Linked DNA regions of Sus scrofa. The protein of the gene in region 1 purifies or fractionates together with the protein of each later gene. This does not show direct contact. Links are inferred from orthologs where the notes say so. Each region holds a gene or a part of one and is shown on either strand. Other genes may lie near its edges.

Evidence for each region.
Region 2: the proteins of SLC7A14 (region 1) and GOLM1 purify together in Homo sapiens (co-immunoprecipitation; 3 studies listed by BioGRID and IntAct, with this or other methods). This does not show direct contact. The link is inferred for Sus scrofa from reciprocal best matches to the Homo sapiens genes SLC7A14 and GOLM1.

Annotation. Positions count from the first base shown.
Region 1 is NC_010455.5:109,123,309-109,126,961, forward strand, and holds part of SLC7A14 (probable cationic amino acid transporter), read right to left. Parts: coding exon 3,064-3,653; intron 1-3,063. UniProt on the Homo sapiens protein: Imports 4-aminobutanoate (GABA) into lysosomes. May act as a GABA sensor that regulates mTORC2-dependent INS signaling and gluconeogenesis. The transport mechanism and substrate selectivity remain to be elucidated.
Region 2 is NC_010452.4:29,204,529-29,208,181, reverse strand, and holds part of GOLM1 (Golgi membrane protein 1), read right to left. Parts: intron 1,041-3,653; coding exon 881-1,040; intron 220-880; coding exon 1-219.

The DNA of each region.
Region 1 (3,653 bases):
CTGGCCAGCCCAGGCTGCAGGGTGGCATCCTCCCATGCCAAGGAGTCTCAGTTTCTAGAGCCAGTGTGAAATTTGTGCTATCAGCAAGATTACAAAAGGCTCTCTGGGAGTTGTCTTCTGCCTGATAACTAGAAGGGCAACCTGAGTCAGAACAGGTTCACGTTGTACTTTAGCATGTGATAGCTAGTCTGGGGAACAATGAATCATTTTAGAGTTTTAAAAGGAAGTCAAGAAAGAAATAGTTCTTATTACTTTTCCTGACATTTTCAGCAACCAGATCAAGGTTAGAATTATCTGCAGTTTTACAGATGAGTAAACTGAGGCCCCAAGGAGTTAACTGAACTTTCCAAGGTCACAAGGAAGTGGCTATGATTTCAACTTGGTGCTGTCTGACTCCAAGGGCAATTGCCCCTGCCACCACCCTGCTTTTGCAAAACTCCTCTGGTGCTCCAGAAACATGGATATTATGTAGGACCAAGTACATAATTGGTGGGTTCCAGTGCAAAATGAAACCATGGACCCTCTTGTTAGAAAATTGTTAAGAATCGAAGAAGACAGCACCAGAGCATTAAACCAAGTGTGGGGCCCAGTGTGACTCCACAGATCATCTACCCATGAAGCCAGCTCTGATGTTATGTGTTAATCTGTACAGGCCACATATCAAACATTCTGAGCAAATAAAGTTGCTCAGAGGCACTCGGGTGGGGAGGTAGGAGCCCCAGATCTAAGCATGGAGATTTCTAAAGTATAGTAATAACTCTGTGAATAAGTTCCTATTACTCCTTTTGACTTCGAGCATGTTATTTAACTTCTTGGAGGTTCAGTTTACTTCCTATAAAATTGAGGGAGAAGTGGGGAAGTGGTGGACCATGTCAGTATTTCTCAAACTTTATATTTATTTAGATTTATATACTGTATTTTTAGTAGGGTGACTATGATCATGGACTCTGGACCCACACCACCAGTTCTAATTTGGCTTTGCAAATTCTAACTATCTGACCTCAGTCAAGTGCCTCAGTTTCCTTATCTGTAAAATGGAGGTGGTTGTGAGGATTAACTAAGTTAATATAAATAGAGCCCCTGGAATGATGACTGAAATGTGACAAATGTTGTATGTGTTAATTATTACTTTGAATCATATGGCACATGTATTAGTACTAATGTATTTCCTTAATTTGACTCACTTTTAAAATTTAAAAATAATCAGATTCATGTGAATAAGTGAAAGTAAATAATAACTATATAATATTAAATAATTCATTCATATACTTGCTAAAATCAGTCCAAATATTAGCAGTGGAATGGTCACTACACTCTGGGGAACATTGTATTAGATGTTGAAGGCTTCTTCTGGCTTGAATAACCCAGGAAAAAATGAGTAAATTCACGTGTATTTGCGTCTATGCCTTCATTCAATTGAGAAATACGTGACTCTAATATTTCTACTGACTTCAGTCATTTCTATTGATGGTAGCATTTGTTCATTGCTTAGCTTCTTGTTCCAGTAGAAAAATGTTTAAACAGAAAAGAGATATTTGTGAATAAATCACATAAATGCTTAGAATTTTTATAAGTCAGTGGGGTCCTCTCAAGAGATCCCTGAAGTCTAACAAAGGATGAGGCTTCGGGTAGTGAGAAATGGGTACACAGTGCTTCCAGGAAGGCAGAGGCTGGCCTCAGAGGTGAGGAATCTGCTGGGAGACATATGCCCTTTCCTTTGAGTACTGTTTTCCCCTGCTTCCCACTATCTGAATCCTGTCTTACAGGCCCAGTTCAGATGCTGCCTTCTCAAAGTCCTTTCCAGCTATTCTGATCGGAAGTTTCTTTTTTTCTCATCTGGAGTGCTTTATAATCATAGGGCGGTATTTATTAAGCACAGACTGTGTTCTGGGTACAGAAGGCACCAAGTTGAACCCATATCCCTGACCTGGAGGAGTGGATGGGCTACAACTCAGTGAGTCTCTATGATGCCTTCCCCATGTATCTGTCTTTCCCCTCCTTAAGATGGGGTTACTTATTCTTTACTTTCCTATTCCTTAAAGCACTCTAAGGATCCTTCTTAGCTAAGTATTTGTTGCCAGAGACCCCAGGGTTACCAAGTTGTATAGGAAATAGAAAAATAGTAACTTTAAAATTAGTTTTCACTTAAACATCCCTCTCAAGGTGTCATGAGCACCAATCACCAGCCATTTCATAAACATCAGTGACAGTCATAGAGGATAAATATTTAATGTGAATATAATATAAATTGGTCCTAAAGGAAAACTAGAAATCTTGGGAAAGATACAGGACATCCTGAAGCAATGAAAGTGAGTTTAGAGAGAGAAGTGGTACTTCACTCAAAGCTGTGGACATCAAGGACCTGACAGAGTCCTATTAGTTGTTGACAGAACAAGAGAAAATCAATGGGATGATGTGTGATGGGTACTTCCCAAGAGAATGATTGGAATATTAAAGGGTTAAGAAAGACCTTGGGAAAGAATGAAAAACTCTTGAATATTTTACAAAAGTCATTAAATAGTGAGGGCTGTTAAATTGTGTCATGATACACTTTTGTCTAAAAAATTGTGCCAAAAACCTATGCTTAATTTATACTTTGCTTCTTTAAAAATATGGCATGATTGCTATTTTAATTTTGTCAAATATAAGATAAATAAAATTTTTAATAATTTTTTAGTTTCATAATTTTTAGTTTTTAAGAATTCCACTCAACCTTTCCCACCCTTGCTTTTATATGTAATTTTTGTCATTTTAAAAATGTGGATTCATTTTAAATGGACTTTCTATGGTACTAATTATCCACAAGAACGTCCAGTAATAGTATTCAATGAAGTGAGGGACTGATCAGTATCATTCTTCAGAATCACCAACCAAGATCTTAACAGGCAGAATGGGCACAGTTGGCTCTTTTGACCCTAAAGCAGAAAGCAAGAATCCACAGAAACAACCAGCCAGATTTCTCTTGGATTGGGGATGCTGAGTCCAGCTAGGAAGTAGTTTTGGGATAATCCTGGACAAGGCCTTAATAAGGGACCTCCCAAGGCTCCAAAGGAAGTTGCTTACCCACAAAGCACCAGACCGCAAACCGGATCCAGGTGATGGTGGAGAGCTTTAGCATGAGATAGATGTTCACCAGCATGGCAAAGGCAGGCACAAAGGGGAGGCAGGGAGCCATATAGGGCAGCTTCTTGGGGTTCTCTGGCTGCTGTAGGATCACAAATACCAGGGCACTGATCAGCAGCACCATTAGAATGACCAGAAGGATGGCCCACCAGCTCTGCTCCGAAATGTAGTCGGAACCAAAGATAATGAAGGAGCAGAAGATGAACATGAGGATGAAGAGCAGGAGCACACAGATGGTCACCGTGTGCCCTGTAGCTGCTGTGGGCCGATCCATCTTGCCTGGAAGGCCCAGCCGGATCCTCATGGTGTAGTAACGGGGCCCAATCAGCTTCTTTAACTTGATGAGATAAATGTTTTCAGATTCATCAGCTTCTATGCCTGTGGTCATGTCCACGGTGCCATAGTTTGGGTGGTTGACATTGTAGGTTGACTTGTCTGATTTCCCTATGAGCATCTCATTGTCACCCAAGGATGGTAAGTTCTTGGCCCCACATGTGTTGGTGGCTGGGCCGGAAAACTCTTCCCCTTCA
Region 2 (3,653 bases), on another chromosome or scaffold:
GGTCCCGCTCGGGGCCCTCCAGGTCCTGGTCTTCCTGGCTTGCCAATGGGGCAGCCGGTGCCTGCGGGGTCCGGCCAACTTCTCCGGGTTCTCCACCCACGTCTCTGGCCTCGGCCCCGGCCTGCTCTTGGCCTGGATCCTGCGGCTGCCCCAGGGCATCCCTCTGCGCTGCCGCCGCCTCCTCCTCCTCGCTGGCAACCTGAATCTCCTTGGTTTCCTCTGTGCACAGAAGAGAGTTAGCAGCCACCTCACGAGCAATTAATTTAAGTAAAACCACCCAGAAGCCCTCGTACCCCTCAATCCCCAGAGCCTTCCCAAGGGCAGTGGACGGATGGCGTGACTGGATAATTTACTTCGTGACCTCAGCAGACTCCCAGCTTCTCTATGCCTGCAGCTCATCTTCAGAAGCACGAGGAAGAGGGAATGATTTAGAAAAAAAGGCCAAACTAAGTTATCTCAATAACAGCAACCAGCTACAAGCAGAGGAGGCTGAGCCACTGAGGCTGTTGGATGATCCCATCTGACTGAGATAAGCGCCGGGAGCCAGGGCCAGCTGCTCAGGACTCAGCCACTTCCCTGCATCCCACAGACCCACCAGCATCCTGAGCAAAGCCAAAGCCAGACCTCCATGTACAGAGCTGCCAAATAACAAGCGTGAGACAGCAGTAAGGCAGGGGAAGGGCCCCAAGGCCCAAGTTCAGATGCCCAGAAAGACATTCACCTGCCCCCCTCCCGCCCATTACTGAGCTCACAGTCAGCCGCCAGCAGCAACTCTGCCCTGTGTGTCTATACGGAACGAAGGACATGATCTGCTGCTATGGTTGTGTGGCCACAGGGCCCTGATGGGGGCTGAAATGAGTCACGGCCAAGCCTCACTCACCTTTCTCACCTTGTCTCTTCAAATCCAAAACCGCCTCAGCACTGGGCGCTGGCGTCCGGGGCTCACCGTTGCCGGGCGCACGTCCTCTCGCTTGGGACACCCCTGCCTGGGGTAGGTCTGCTTCCTGCGGTCTGGGCTGGGGCTGGTTGGGAGCTGGGAGCTGAAACAGAAGCACAGGCGCCCAGGGCAGGGTCTTTGTGACCAGAAACCTCCCATGACCCTGAGCAATGCAATGGACCACTCTGTCCTTCTGGCAAACAAGAGCACCAAGACCCTGAGCAATGCCTGGCTCTGCCCCCATCATCCCTGACCAGCTGGCATAAAGCAGACAATCTAAAGTCCAGATCACCCATATTAACAAGCAGCCAGAAGATCAACAAGGAAAAAGAAGACTTGAACAAGAGGACAAACCACCCAAACCACCTCTACAGAGCAGCCAGCCCAACAAGAGCAAAACACACACTCTTGTTAAGGGCACATAGACTGTTATCATACAGTGTCATAATGGAATGAAATTATACATCAGTAACAAAATGAAATTGGAGAAATTTACAAATATGTGGATATTACACACCATGCTCCTAAATAACGAACGGGCCGAAGAAATCACAAGGAACATTAGAAAAATACCTTGGGATTAACCTGGGAGTTCCCGTTGTGGCTCAGTGGTAATGAACCCAACTAGTATCCATGAGAATGCAGGTCTGATCACTGGCCCTGCTCAGTGGATTAAAGATCCAGCGTTGCCGTGAGCTGTGCTGCAGGTCACAGATGCAGCTTGGATCTGGTGTTGCTATAGCTATGGCGTAGCTATGGTATCCCTAGCCTGGGAACTTCCATATGCCACATGTGCAGCCCTGAAAAAAAAAAAAAAGCAAAAATTAAAATGAAAACACCATACACCAAACTTACGGAAGGCAGCTAAAGCAGTACTCAGAGGGAAATTCACAGCCCTATTATCAAGAAAAGAGACTGATCTCTGGACAACAACCTAATCTTCCACTTCAAGATACTTGAAAATGAAAAGCATACTAAACCTAAAGCCAGGAAAGACATACTCTAGATTAGAGCAGGAATGGATGACAAATGGAAGAGAAAACCAATAAAGAAAATCAATGAAACCGGAAGTTAGTTCTTTAAAAGCTCAACAAAACTGACAAAGCTTTAGCTAGATTAACTGAGAATAAAAAGACTGAAATTGGAGTTCCTGTCGTGGTGCAGTGGTTAATGAATCTGACTAGGAATCATGAGGTTGCGGGTTCAGTCCCTGCCCTTGCTCAGTGGGTTAACGATCTGGCATTGCCGTGAGCTGTGGTGTAGGTTGCAGACGCGGCTCAGATCCTGCGTTGCTATGGCTCTGGCATAGGCCAGGGGCTACAGCTCCAATTTGACCCCTAGGCTGGGAACCTCCATATGCCGCGGGAGCGGCCCAAAGAAACAGCAAAAAGACAAAAAAAAAAAAAAAAAAAAAAAAGACTGAAATTACTGAAATAAAAACATGAAAGGGGATAACACTACCAATCTTACATAAACAAGTCTTATTACAAGCAAATACTGACAACTGTTTGCCAACAAGTTTGATAACTTAGCTGAAACAGACAAGTTCCCAGGAAGACAAAACTGATTCAAGAAGTAGAAAATCTGAGAAAACTTGTATAACAAGAGATTGAAGTCATAATTTAAAATTCCCCGCCGAAGGACTTCCCCTTGTGGTTCAGCAAAAACAAACCCAACTAGTATCCATGAGGATGCAGGTTTGAGACCTGGCCTCACTCAGTGAGTTAAGAATCCAGAACTGCTGTGAGCTGTGGCATAGACCACAGATGTGGCTTGGATCCGTGGTATTGCCATGAGTGTGGTGTAAGCTGGCAGCTGCAGCTCTGATTTGACCCCTAGCCTAGGAATTCCATATGCTGCGGGTGCGGCCCTAAAAAAAAAAAAAAAAAAAAAAAGAAAAAGAAAAATATATCGGCATACCTTAACAACATTGCAGGTTTAGTTCCAAACCATCCCGATAAAATGAATACTGCATAAAGCAAGTCGCACAAATTGTTTGAATTCCTAGTGCACATAAAACTGGTGTTTTTGGAGTTCCCGTTGTGGCGCAGTGGTTAACGAATCCGACTAGGAACCATGAGGTTGCAGGTTTGATCCCTGGCCTTGCTCAGTGGGTTAAGGATCTGGCGTTGCCATGAGCTGTGGTGTAGGTCGCAGACGCGGCTAGGATCCCGTGTTGCTGTGGCTCTGGTGTAGGCTGGTGGCTAGAGCTCCAATTCGAACCCTAGCCTGGGAACTTCCACATGCTGCAAATACAGCCCTAAAAAGGAAATAAATTTAAAAATTAAAAAAAAAAGAATTGCCAAAATGTGACACAGAGACATGACACGAGCAAACGCTGTTGGAAAAATGGAGCCAATACACTTCCTCAGCATAGGGCTGCCACAAGCCTTCAACGTGTTCAAAAAAAAAAAAAAAAAAAAAAATCCAAGAAGCACACTAAAATGAGGTATGCCTGCACAGCTAACATCAAACGTAACTGTGAAAGATTTAGGACTTTCCCCTGTGATCAAGGACAAGGATAGCTACTCTCACTTTTTGGTTTTGTCTTTTTTTTTTTTTTTTTTTTTGGTCTTTTTAGGGCCACACATGGGGCATATGGAGGTTCCCAGGCTTGGGGTCAAATTTGAGCTACAGCTGCAGGCCTGCACCACAGCCACAGCAACACGGGATCCGAGCCATGTCTGCAACCTACACCACAGCTCACAGTGGTGCT